Linked DNA regions of Callithrix jacchus. The protein of the gene in region 2 interacts with the protein of the main gene of each other region in a biochemical or structural test. Links are inferred from orthologs where the notes say so. Each region holds a gene or a part of one and is shown on either strand. Other genes may lie near its edges.

The links.
Region 1: the proteins of SNTB1 (region 2) and MAPK12 interact in a test that uses a peptide from one of them, tested with the Homo sapiens proteins (2 studies listed by IntAct, with this or other methods). The link is inferred for Callithrix jacchus from reciprocal best matches to the Homo sapiens genes SNTB1 and MAPK12.
Region 3: the proteins of SNTB1 (region 2) and GUCY1A2 interact in a test that uses a peptide from one of them, tested with the Homo sapiens proteins (2 studies listed by IntAct, with this or other methods). The link is inferred for Callithrix jacchus from reciprocal best matches to the Homo sapiens genes SNTB1 and GUCY1A2.

What each region holds. Positions count from the first base shown.
Region 1 is NC_133502.1:218,834,498-218,838,940, forward strand, and holds part of MAPK12 (mitogen-activated protein kinase 12), read right to left. Parts: intron 3,566-4,443; coding exon 3,507-3,565; intron 2,476-3,506; coding exon 2,364-2,475; intron 2,246-2,363; coding exon 2,216-2,245; intron 1,926-2,215; coding exon 1,878-1,925; intron 1,398-1,877; coding exon 1,283-1,397; intron 1,084-1,282; coding exon 1,012-1,083; intron 253-1,011; coding exon 173-252; intron 90-172; coding exon 11-89; intron 1-10. UniProt on the Homo sapiens protein: Serine/threonine kinase which acts as an essential component of the MAP kinase signal transduction pathway.
Region 2 is NC_133517.1:76,824,892-76,829,405, reverse strand, and holds part of SNTB1 (beta-1-syntrophin), read right to left. Parts: intron 2,634-4,514; coding exon 2,443-2,633; intron 1-2,442. UniProt on the Homo sapiens protein: Adapter protein that binds to and probably organizes the subcellular localization of a variety of membrane proteins. May link various receptors to the actin cytoskeleton and the dystrophin glycoprotein complex.
Region 3 is NC_133511.1:6,813,316-6,817,829, forward strand, and holds part of GUCY1A2 (guanylate cyclase soluble subunit alpha-2), read right to left. Parts: intron 1,505-4,514; coding exon 786-1,504; intron 1-785. UniProt on the Homo sapiens protein: Has guanylyl cyclase on binding to the beta-1 subunit. Isoform 2 acts as a negative regulator of guanylyl cyclase activity as it forms non-functional heterodimers with the beta subunits.

The sequences.
Region 1 (4,443 bases), on a different chromosome or scaffold from region 2:
CCAGCCCTACCCAGAGGGCTTGCGTTGGTCAGGATGGAGGCAAAATCCTTCTTCTCCAACTCAGGGAGGCCCTTCATGTAGTTCTTGGCCTGTGTGGGAAGAAAGGGTGAGGGGCCAGCACCGAGGCCTGAGTCTGCCCCCAATCCCACCAAGCGCCCCACTGACCACTGACCTCATCGCTTTGCAGCCGCTGCACAAACTCAGCTGGAGGCGTTCCTGTCACCTTCATGATCTCTTTCAGCTGGTCCAGGTCTGTACTGAGGTCAGGAGCACAGCTCGGGTGCCAGAGATTGGGACCTTCACCACCCCCACTTGGGCAGAAGCCATTCCCAACCCCCAATACCTGCCACCTGGGCAGGAGCCATTCCACCCCCCCCCAATACCCTCCACCTGGGCAGGAGCCATCCCCCCCATACCCTCCACCTGGGCAGAAGCCATTCCCTCCCCAATACCCTCCACCTGGGCAGGAGCCACTTCCCCCAATACCCTCCACCTGGGCAGGAGCCATCCTTCCCCAATACCCTCCACCTGGGCAGGAGCCACTCCCCCCCCAATACCCTCCACCTGGGCAGCAGCCATCCTCCCCCAATACCCTCCACATGGGCAGAAGCCATTTCCCCCCCAATACCCTCCACCTGGGCAGGAGCCATTTTCCCCCCCAATACCCTCCACCTGGGCAGAAGCCATTTCCCCCCCAATACCCTCCACCTGGGCAGGAGCCATCCTCCCGCAATACCCTCCACCTGGGCAGAAGCCATTTCCCCCCCAATACCCTCCACCTGGGCAGGAGCCATCCTCCCGCAATACCCTCCACCTGGGCAGAAGCCATTTCCCCCCCCAATACCCTCCACCTGGGCAGGAGCCATCCTCCCCCAATACCCTCCACCTGGGCAGAAGCCATTTTCCCCCCCAATACCCTCCACCTGGGCAGCAGCCATCCTCCCCCAATACCCTCCACGTGGGCAGGAGCCAGCCCCACCTGCCCCGTGCCGCCCCGCTGCTGGAGGATACGGTCGCTGCCTTTAAACAGTGTCTTGCCTGAGATCATCTCTGCCATGATGCAGCCCACAGACCAGATGTCCACTGAGATAGAAGCCCTGGTCAGCTCCGTGGGCAGGGGGCCAGAATGAGACAGGAAGGGAGGAGACACTGACACAGCCCACTCGCCCGGCTCCCACCCCAGCTCAACAGCCTCCCTGGAAGCAGCCACCAGGGGCTCTCCGTGAAGAGGGGAAGCAGATGGTGCAGCCTGAGAGGCCCACATCTCTGGGCAGCTCCTCACCCGTCTGTGTGTATCGCATCCAATTCAAGATGACCTCAGGTGCCCGGTACCACCGAGTCACCACATACCCAGTCATCTCGCTGTCGGCCTGCCTGGCCAGGCCAAAGTCCAGGATCTGTGGGAAAAATTGGGGAAGTGGGGTCTAGGGCACTCCCAAGGAGTGGTCAGGCCACCCATAATGTAGGAGACCCCAAGAGGGCTGGACTTGAACCCCCCAATCGGGGACCTCCTGACAACCTTCTAGGGCTTGAGGCCACAGCCCCAGACCCCAAACTGCCCTGAGCTCCTCGCTGTGGCCAATGCACTGAGCCCAGCTGCCCTCCAGAGCAGGTGCCCTCTCCCTGCTGTCACCTGCTGCCTGACAAGGCCTCAGCCCTGCCCTGGACCAGGCAGGGGCCTGGGGGCGCCTCCCACCCTCACCCACTGCAGGTATGGCAATGGGTTGTACCACGGCCTCCTGGGGCTCAACCACCCACCCGCTCCTCAGCTACTGCCTAGAGTCTGGGATCAGGTCCCCTGCCCAGGCCTGAGGACAGGTAGATAGATGGTAGATCTGAGGGAGCCCGTGCCCCAGCTCAGGGCCTGCTGCACAAACCTTCAGCTCACAGTCTTCATTCACAGCCAGGTTGCCAGGCTTCAGGTCCTGGGGGCAGAGGAAAGGTGGCCACTGTGTCCCACCCTCCCAGGCATGGGCACAGCCAAGAGCCTGGGTGGGACCTAGAGACAGGGCCACCAGACCTGGCCCCCTTGCTCTCTGCAGCCCTTCAAGGATGGAGGGAGGGACCTGGACACCAGGCAGGCTCCCAACAGGGGCTGTGCATGGGGCATGGCTCAGTCCCCCCCAGACCCTGTGAGATCCTCACAGGTGGGACGTGGAGGCGGGGAAATTGCGCCAGGAGAGGGCTGATGGGTGGCTTCCTCTCCAGGACTCACTCTGTGGATGATGCCGGCAGCGTGGATATACTGTGGGGGCAGAGGGTTGGGCAGGCATCAGTGTACCAAGGTCTCAGAGCCACAAGACCCTCCTCCACCCGGCCACCAGGCCCTGCCACCTCCCTGCAGCCTCCCCCGGGGTCCATACCTTCAGCCCCTTCAGCATCTGGTACACGAGGAACTGGATCCGGTCCTCTCCCAGCTTCTCGTGCTTCATGAGCTTCCCCAGGTCAGTGCCCATGAATGGCATCACCAGATAACTGTGGAAGGGGCCGGGTGCCATCAGTAGGCAGGGCCAGCCTCTGCATCCTGGAGGCCCACCCAGCAGGCCCAGGCTCAGACCCATCCCGCTCCAGCAAGTGCCTCTGGGAAGATCCCCCTGCAGCACCTATCCCCACTGGCCTCGGCATCCTCGAAGCTGCACCTTGTAGTGCCAGGCTCCATCCAGACCCAACCCCATCACTGCCAGCAATGCTCACACCTCCCTCCCACCCCGAGGACTGTCAGGCAGAGTGGAGGATGCACTTTGGGGTTTTTGAACCCTCCACTGAGTGCCCTGCGTGCCAGTCTAGGGGCTGAGGCTGCGTGGTGGAGGCAGCAGGGCTCAAGTCTTCACAGGCAGGGGAGGGAAGCAGTCAGGTTTCAACTTCAGAACTTTGTGCCAGAGACGAGGGAGGTGCCTGGAGGTGTTAGGGGCTCACAAGGCATCTGGGTCAGTGGGGTCAGCTGGGCTGGTGGACAGACACAGAAGCATGGTATAGCCCCTCTCAGTGGCCACTGAGGCCAGCGTGGGTCCTTGACCTCTGCAAGTCAGGCGAGAGGAGCCTGCTGCCTTCTCCAGCTCTTCCTCAGCCTGGACCTTCACTCTTGGCCGACAAGGTGTGAGTTTCAGGGTGGTCGGCTACAGGGCACGGGCAGGGCAGGTCCTCCCTACTGCTTCTCCTGTACCCGTCGGAAAAGGTCAGCAGCTCCCATTACAGGCCACACACTTGGTGCCAGGAAGGTCCCAGGCACGGGACCTTCCTGTTAACAAATGCTCAGGTCCAAGGTTCACACCTCCAGTGCTGGAGAGGGCCCAGGTGCCAGACTTGGAGGGAGGCGGCAGCCCCAGCTCTGCTGGGCAGTGCCAGTGCCCGTGGGTCCCAGGAGCATGTGGGGGAGGGGCTGGGCAATGTGCATCCCCCACTCAGCCTGCAGGAAGAGAGCCCCATGCCAACCTAGAACCTGAAGCCAGTACCCAGAGCTGCCCAACACCCCTTGTGCCTGGCAGCCAGCCCAGGTCAGCACTCACAAGTCCGTGAAGTCATCCAGGGTCTCATCAGGAGTGAATACGTCCAGCAGCCCAATCACCTGGTGCGGGGGGAGGGCAGGTAGGGTTGAGGGTGCCGTAGAGGACATGGGCTGGGGCACCCCCCCAAGAGTGGCACAGCCCTCTGGGCAGAAAACCCCCTCTGCAGCTGTTGTTGTCATGCCCCACTGTCCAAAGGGCCTGGCTCTGCCCACTGGCCACTGGCAGTGTGGCCCAGCCCTGGCACACATACCCACAGACAGGTTATTTTTGGATGGTGACAGCCGGGATCTTCTGGGGGAGGGGCAACCCCAAGCCTAGGCTGGCTTGCCATCCAAAGGGCTCCTGCCCCTTGACCCTTTCTCCCATCTTCTCCCCAACCAAGCAGACCCAGGCCCAGGGTGAGGACAGCGCTATAGGGAGAGAGGCCCAGGCAGGCAGCACCGTGACCAGTCAGACCTGGTCCCCACAACGCCCCTGGTTGGGGAGACGGACAGTGGACAGGTCATAAGATAACTGCCACCTCAGCATTTTGGGGTGACAGGGCCTCCAGGGTCCCAGAGAGGCCTGGAGTTTTGCATAGCCAAGGACAGAGGAGCAGGTGGACGTGTGGACAGAGGGAAACTGGCAGAGGGCACACACAGAGTAGCCGAGGCAGGAGGGAAAACACTGGGAGAGTTTGAGGAACAAAGGGAGGGAGGCCAGGTGGCCGAGGCCCAGGCCAGGGAGGGGCTGAGGAGAGGCCAGAGGGAGCCGGCAGGAAGCACACACCAGGTGAAGGTTTGGCTTTGATCCCAAGAGACAGGGAAGGATTTAAACAGGGGTGTGATGCTAAATGTGTCCTGGCTGTGGTATAGGGACCAGCCGGAGTGAGGCAAGAATGGGCACAAGCTGGAAGGACAGCTCCACTGTAGCCACGTGGGCCAGAGCTGAGGGCAAG
Region 2 (4,514 bases):
CTTTTTAGGCATACAATCTTGGGTAAGTCTCCTAAAATTCTCCTCAGCCCTACTAACTCACAGAGTCATTAGAGGATTCGAGGAGCTACGATATGTGGAACTTCCTCGTAAACTGTAAAACACAGAAGCCACGCTAAGCAGCTGTGCTGCCAACCTCCGCTACTCTTGAACTGTTTAAGCGCGCATGTCACATCTCCATGAAGGCACCATCTGAAGTCTTATGCTTCTTGGTGTATTCCTTGAGAATCTGGCGTATGCAAGACATAGTCTGGGTAAGAGAGTCCTTCAGAAGTTGAATTTTATCATCTGACCTAATATAGGGAAATTGCTGTTCTCAATGCTTTTCTGCTGTCCCCAGTTTTGTTCTGATGATGACATTATTGGAGAATCAGAACAATCTGAGCATATCACACCTACCAAAGTTAAGGTTGTACTCCTTATGAGCCAGGCACTGTGCTACATATCTTCTGCCCACTATCTTATTTAATTCTCTCTCACAGAATCCGTATGAGGAAGCTATTGTAATTATCTCCATTTTTTTAAGTGGGGTAACTAAGATCCAGGAAGTTATGAAACTTTGAAATATAGATCTTATAGTAAATAGAAAGCATGGACTCAAATGCAAGTCTGTCTAAGGCCAGAGCCAGGGCTTAACCACAACATTCTATGTCACTAACATGGAATGCAACTTTTGAAAGGAATATTAAAGATTAGCTACTTCAATCCCTGTATTTTATGGATGGGGACACCTAGATAGAAAGAAATGAAAGCACTTTCCCAAGAGAGTTGGTGAGTTTGTCGCAGACTCAGAAAGAGAGCCCAGGTCTTGACCCTCAGTTTATTGCATTTCCTACAGCTCATCTTCTGTCTCTTCCCCCTCCATACTGGAAAGGTCTGCGGCCCATCTCCTGGGATTGTTTAAACGGACATAGCGGGTAGAGGGAAAGGGGGCTGTGTCTGAATTGGAGCTCATCAACTCAATGTACTGGCAGTAAAAATCAGTCCTTCCTAAATCTTCCAAGTCAGGCTGTAATTACAGGCAGAAAGGCTGAAATTTAGACATAAGTGATTTTCCTGGTGGGCAAAAATAGCCTTGAATTTTTAAGCCATGGATAAAGCAGGAGACTGATTCTTGTTCTTTTCTACTTTGCTAGAGAGTAGTCACCTTTAGGAAAAAGTACACAATGGGTGATTGATAGAGCAGCAACTGAATTAGAAATATTCTTAGTAAAACGGGCTTTTAAGTCACTACTTTATTTCCAAGCAGGTGCCTCACACTGAACCTACTGATTGAAACATACAAACAAACATTCAACAAAAAATTCTGTGGATCCATTTTAAAAGTTAGAAATATGCTTGGCTAGAAATTACTCTCAGAAAGTGAATGTCAGCAAACCAAGTGTCAGCCACAGGGAATGGCCTTCATCATGACTGCCTGTGGCACTCACGGCAAGATATTTGGCACTGTTTTGGTGCCAGAAGTATAGCATCATTCAGAAGAGTGGGGCTGCAATTTTGACGTAAAAAGTCCCTATGCCCTGTTAAGCCTGTTCTGCCCTTTCCTTCCTGAAAGCCAGCAAATTCACTGACTAACCCAGTGGCTAGGGAGGACCTAAACAGAGACTAGTCATTACGACATCAAAGTCCTCTTTGAAGTTCTACATTTGACAGCTTAAATGAGATGATATGTTCTCCTGAAATGCCAAGGACAACACTTGCTAGACAGCATAAGAGTGTGCAATTCACCCTTCTGTGCAAGTGAAGTCATATACTTTTTCATTATGGCAGGCAGAAACCATCTCAGGAAATTATGAATTCAAACACATGGACTAACTTGCATTGAGATGAGCAGTATGTTACTATAACTGATATATTTGCTAATTTTGTTGCATAGTGTTTGACATCGGCTCCATGCTTCAGTGCCTTTGTCCGGCCCCCTGTGGACTCCAATGGAGTTGAGCAGTTTCTTTTCATTTTCTGGCTGCCCTCTTGCTCTGCCCCTCATCTGGCCCCTACTGTCTCTCTGCTGTATGTCCTCTCCTCAGAGACTTCCCTGACGGTAGGGACCATGTATTTTAGTTCACTGCATTCCCTAACATCTCTTACAATGCCAAGGTTATACGAGATGCTTGATACTTTTTAAAAATGCGGGGTACATTTTTTAAGCTGATGAGACCCTATTTGATAAGAATTTAATCAAACTTTGTAAAGGATTATTTCCTTTGACTCAAATATTTATGTAGTCTTCTACTGGAAAATGAGACTGAAGAAAAGAACTTTGAAATAATTGAACCTAATCACTGTTTTTCAAGGATCAAATAAAACATGGGCTTGCAAGCATTTCGTTAGCAGTCAAATGCCGAATAAGAGTAAGGCAGCATTATGTTGCAAAATGAAATATTAATATATGAAATCACACTGTCTAAAGAAAAGTACACTTACAATCTCTCCATCTTTGCCTCCAAAATCTAAGTACAGCATCCTGATTCCATCATCTGAAGACATTTTGAGCTTTTCGTAAGGAGACTGTAAGATTGTCTTGGGAAAGGCACCCTCCTGTGGTTCAGTGGTAATAGAAAATCCATTCTCATAATGTACGGTCAAACGGCACTCCTGGTTTTTGTAGGTGCAAGCTGAGAGAGAAAGAGAGAGAAAAAGAGACAGGTATGAACCACGGCGATCAATCCATTTTCCCACTCACTTCATGCCTCCTCAGTCCCAGTGATCAGCCACAAGATTCTTACTACTATAAAAACACAGTCATTGTTCATGAAAATATTCTCCTTGGATTTATTTTGGTGCTGTAATTTTTTTTTTTTTTTTTTTTTTAAGACGGAGTTTCGCTCTTGTTACCCAGGCTGGAGTACAATGGCACAATCTTGGTTCACCGCAACCTCCGCCTCCTGGGTTCAAGCAATTCTCCTGCCTCAGCCTCCTGAGTAGCTAGGATTACAGGCACGCACCACCATATCCAGCTAATTTTTTGTATTTTGAGTAGAGACGGGGTTTCACCATGTTGACCAGGATGGTCTCCATCTCTTGACCTCGTGATCCACATGCCTTGGCCTCCCAAAGTGCTGGGATTACAGGCGTGAGCCACCGTGCCTGGCCGGTGTTGTAATTTTAAAAAGCCCCATAGCCGAGCGCGGTGACTCACACCTGTAATCCCAGCACTTTGGGAGGCCGAGGTGGGCGGATCATGAGGTCAAGAGATGGAGACCATCCTGGCCAACATAGTGAAACCCCGTCTCTACTAAAAATACAAAAATTAGCTGGGTATGATGGCAACCGCCTATAGTCCCAGCTACTTGGGAGGCTGAGGCTGGAGAACTGCTTGAACCCGGGAGGCAGACGTTGCAGTGAGCTGAGATCGCGCCACTGCACTCCAGCCTGGCACCTGGCAACAGAGCGAGACTCTGTCTTAAAAAGAAAAAAAACAGAAGCCCCATAGAACTAAGGAAATTAAATGGAAAGAAATTCTTTTTGCTGGGATCTACTGAATGTTATCTGGGTTCTAGTCCTTATCTAGTCATCTGACAACACACAGGTCTGTAGGTGTACTGGCCTTCCAACAGCCCTGTGGGCCTTGCCTCAAGCCAGAAAAAAACCAGAACGTTGGTTTAAATAAATAAGGCCAGTAGGGTGCGCTGGCTTACACCTGCAATCCCAGCTTTGGGAGGCCAAGGTGGGTGGATCACTTGAAGTCAGAAGTTCAAGACCAGCCTGGTCAATATGGTGTAACCCCATCAAATTTGTATTTGCTAAAATATTAAATGCTAAAACCCCAACCAATTTGTATTTGCTAAAAATAAAAATATTAGCCAGATGTGGTGGTGTGCACCTATAGTCCCAGCTACTCTGGAGGCTGAGACAGGAGAATAGCTTGAACCTGGGAGGCAGAGGTTACAGTGAGTAGAGATTGCTCTACTGTACTCTAGCCTGGGCGACAGAGCAAGACTCTATCTAAAAGAAAAATTTTTTTAAATATGAATAAATAAATAAAGCCACCTTTGAATCATCATCCTCATCATCATCAACACACACACACACACACACACTCACACTCACACACACACATCTACCACATGGTGAAAGAAGACAGCATGGCCTGTGACATTATCTACGTTAACTAATGTAAACACGTAAGTCAGGAATGAGTGGTTTAAAAATAATCTAATTTTTAAAAGTCTAGCAAATCTCTTTCTAGAAATTGAGAGGGGTGTTCTTTTAATTCCCCTGATGATCTTGGGTCCTGGAAAAGCTGCTGTTGCTAACAGACCTCAGATGTGGCATCTTCCATGAAGAGCACTCCTGGTGTGGTATCCAGGAATCTCAGCGGTGGTATGCACATAGTGCCCTCTGATCCAAAGAAACAAACCAAAAACCTCCTGAGCAGGTACGGTGCCAGCTTTTACCTGGGATTCTCACTATGTTTGGGAAAAAGAGTCCTGCTCTTTAAGCTTATGAGCTGGGCACGGAGACTGGCACAGCATCCTAATTCCTATTTAGGAAGA
Region 3 (4,514 bases), on a different chromosome or scaffold from region 2:
TCAGGCAATTCTCCTGCCTCAGCCTCCTGACTAGCTGGGACTACAGGCATGCGCCACCATGCCCAGCTAATATTTTGTATTTTTAGTAGAGACGGGGTTTCACCATGTTGACCAGGATGGTCTCAATCTCTTGACCTCGTGATCCACCCACCTTGGCCTCCCAAAGTGCTGGGATTATAGGCGTGAGCCACCGCGCCTGGCCGGGATCATGTTCTAAAGTGATGAATTTGTATTTTAATACTAAAATTTAAATAGAAAAGAAGTCTTGAGATAGTCAATTCTCAACTTTTAGGGAACACATTATTGTGCATATTAAGACAAAAATAGGATGTAAACCAGATGTTCCTAGATTACGAAATTTAGAAAAGAACATATTCAAAGTGAAGATAGCTTTTAGCATATATATTTAAAGATACTGCAGTCACACCCCACAATGTTGAAATGCTGTATTTCTCATGGTTTGACTCTAGTCAGTGGAAATATTCATGAGTTTATATTATTAGGTTTTTAGTGAGTTCTATCATTTTTGTAATTGCTATAGCTAGTATTAATAAACGTCTTCTTTTTATATGCTGAAATAAATTAATGGAGGCGGCAGACACTATGCAAAATGGCTGGGAATTGGGCCAAATCTTTTTACATACATCCAGGGACCAGTAATCTTCTAAATGACACTTTATGCTCTCTTGCCCAAATAATTACAAGTACAGCCAGCATGTAATTTACTGAAATAATTATCCACTCTTCTAGTTCCCATCACCCATCTCAAGTCCACAGCCACTTACCTTGTCTTTATTTTCAAAGCCAGAAGCCTCAGGCTTGGTTCTAATCACAAACGGGGTAGACAGTCGCAGCAGGACCCTTTCGAAGGTGGCACTGACCTTTGGAGACACGATCTCAAAGCAGTCCTCAAACTTGAGCACTTTGTGAGTGTCACACCGAAGCTGCTTCCTGAGACCTCCCCCCAGCTGCAGGACTGACATGCTGGGGTCAAACATCAGGTGGAAAGGGAAGGCTCTGCAGAAGGTGTTGATGCTAATTCTGAGGTCCGCAGGAACTTGGGAAGGTCCCTGGGGAAGGTTCTTTGTGATCTTAGTATTTTCACATTCTTTGATAAGGAAAGTAAGACAGCTACAATTGCCTGGGTTTGAACCATCAGAGCACAGCTTCTCATTCGCAACCTGTTCCACTTCCACGTCCAGCCGATAGATCTTCTTTCCTGCAGCCTTAATCATCCCCAGCATTGCAAACCCCACAATATGGTGAGGGTGGAAGTAGTGGAGCATGAGAGTACCGTCAGGGAGCTCTTTGCATAGGAAGGATGGTGACTCCAGCGTGGCCTGTTTTCCGAAAGAAGTTCTAATGTGTTCCAACAAAGCATCGAAGCCGTTGAAGAAGTCCTGCAAAGTGCCACCCACAGCTCGAAGGACTCTCTCATTCTCATCGAAGCATGTATTAAAGAACTCTTCGCCAAACCTTTCTTGAATTTCCTCAAACTTCAAACCTAGAGGTAAACGGGAAGCAAATGTTAGTGAAGTTTAATATAAATAATTGAATTTATAGGTTTTTAAATGTTTATCAAAAGAGGTAACTACTGAGTGAAGTGACAAAGGTTATGTTTCTTGGACCCACAAATTTCCACATAGGTTAATGCACTCATCTCAAATCAGAAAAATTAAATTTCAGTTCATCTTCAGGATGCTTCTAAAATGTTAATGAACAACCTTGTTGTTTGTTTTTAAATAGACTACATATTTTTAGACCAGTTTCAGATTCACAGCAAAATTGAGCAGAAGGCACAGTTATTTCCCAAATCTCTCTGCCCCCACACACGCACAGCCTGCCCCATTATCACATCCCCCACCAGAGTGGTACATTTATTACAATCTGTGAACCTACATGATGCTTTATCATCATCCAAAGTCCATGGTTTACATTAGGGTTCACTCTTAACACTGTATATGCTGTGGGCTTAAACAAATGTATACACTATTATCATAGCACACAGAGCATTTTCACTGCCTTAAAAATCCTCAGTTTATCCCTTCCATCCCACTAACTCCCAGAGCATCAACTTTTAAAATGCTGCTAATCTAGCTGTTCACATTTCAATAGCCTTGCAGTAGTTATCACACATAATGTATTTCTCTTTCTTAATTTGACTTCCCCATTCTTCATAGAATATCCAAGTTGCCTACATATCATATCCACATACCATCCATATTATCATCTTACTTCTTATCAAAATGCATGTATTAAGTGGAAAATATAAACCAGAGAGTAAATCTATGGCACATGAGCGAAGAGAAGCATCAAGCTGTCTGGTGGAAATAAAAGCCTTATATTAGCAATCTCCGGGAAAGTCATGCAGGTCAGCTAGACCTCAGGGAAAAGGAGACAAAACAAGAAAATAATAATGGCAGAACTACAGAATGATTTGCATTCTTTCATCCACAAAAGTGAGGGCCGCCAAGAAGGGAGTAGGAATCTGATGAGAAAGGATTAAAGCTTGCTGTTAAGTTTTCTCCATATATACTCGCTGCCTGATGCCCTGGCAAAAGGGATTCCACCTTATAGTACTAGATATTATAATGAAAAATAATTAAGTGTGCATAATATGTCATTTAGTAATAAGAAGCAGGATCACGTGTGATCACCAGATCCACCCTTGAGGACGATCTGAGGAAAAATGAGGGAATGCATGTGCCACGGAGGACTAGAACACATACAAAAGATTTTGGTCTGCATATTAAAGACAGCTTCTACCTAAAGTCACTCCATTGCTCCTCCTTTAACATCGGTTGAAATCAATATATGTAGTTTACATATTCATATTTTCTTGCCCTATTACTTCATCTCATTAGGAAGTTCTACAAATCAGGCAGAACTGGAAAGAGACAGGTTACTTTGCTAGTGCCCTGTCAGAGTGCAGAGCAATCTAGACAGTCTACGGCTCAGTTCCTTTTCTACTTTTATCACTCCCTGAGTGTTCCTCTCAACCAGAAGTGAGGCAAAAGAACAGAGTCCATAATATTATTTTTAAACTAGAGTCCAAGCACATCTAATACTCTTTAAGAGGTTACTGGAGTCTAAAAATGGTGGTAGCCAAGAAGTCATTTTGACAAAGAACCTCTTATAATCAATGTGATAGGAAAATGAGGAGAAAACCTAAGTGAGAAAGAGTCTCTTTATTAACAAGCATTTCAAATTAATTTGGGTTTCATGGATTGGATGCTCAAGACTCGCTGAAAAAGTCACCTATTTAGATAAAAATATCACCACTCATCTCACATTGCCAGGTTACAAGACTGCTCTTCAACATACGTTGCATTCACTAACAATAATGTCAGCCAGAATTGATAATAATAGTACTCATCTGTCCAGCTCCCTGGTGTAGAAAACAAGCTAAACAATATTCGCTGCCATCTGGCTCTTGTTGTGACTGCTCTGTTGAAACAGCTTTCATAAATACTTAACCCAATGTACTGTTTCGTCCTTATCCTACTTAACCTTGTTTGCTGTTTTTCCTTTCATTTGACACTGTTCATCATCTCTTCCTCCTATCTTCTGGCTTATCAAACAGTACTCTCCCGGCTTGACTGTTACCTCTCTGAACATTAATTCTCACTTCCTTCGCTATAACTTCTTCCTATGCCAAATCCTTACGTCGCCATCACTGCGTGTAACTAGAAAACTCTAACATACAAATGAAATTTATATACACATTCAGTGACAGTCCTCTCTTGCTATGAAATCTTCCAGTTATGAAATTCGTACTAAAAACTAAATACAGAGTAAATAAAAATTCCTATAAACTGACCATATATGCTGAACTACAATATTTCGTGTGCCACTCAGAATCTTCCATGGATCACTTCTAAACTTTGAAGAATTGTATTTTCAAAAGAGTTAGGGCCCGTATGCATTGAAGAGAAAAAGAGAAGTTCTTCTATCTTTCTCATAACATTGAAAATGCCCTCACAGCTATCATGCACACAAATGTAAAGATAATGCAGTAAGCTTATGTTCTCTGTCTAATGCCAGGATCTCATAGAATCATCCAGAAAGTAACAAGTTCACCACAGGCAACAAAATAAAAGCTACTCTATGCACAGCAATCTCTCAGCCAGAAAACCTTGCTGCTCTATAAAGGAACTTGGTACTGCAATGACTGGACATTTTCCAATGACGATGCTAAGGAACACCAGAAGCTAAAGTAACATTTGTATCACTAAAAACGTTGAACTTTTTAAATATTATATTAAAATATTAAGCATGGCAATTTTATATAAACCCTTAATATTCAGTTAACTAATAAAGATTTTATTCTCACAATGGTTAAACTCCACAAGATCAGAAAAGAAAATAAATTCTTAGATTAAAACCAAGAAATGATTACTTCAACTTTTACAAATATACCAAGACTTTCATTTTAAACCTAATCTCAAAATTCAGAAAGCACAGACAAAGTGATTCACTTCAGACAACTGATGCGATTCTGACTCCCCAGGTTC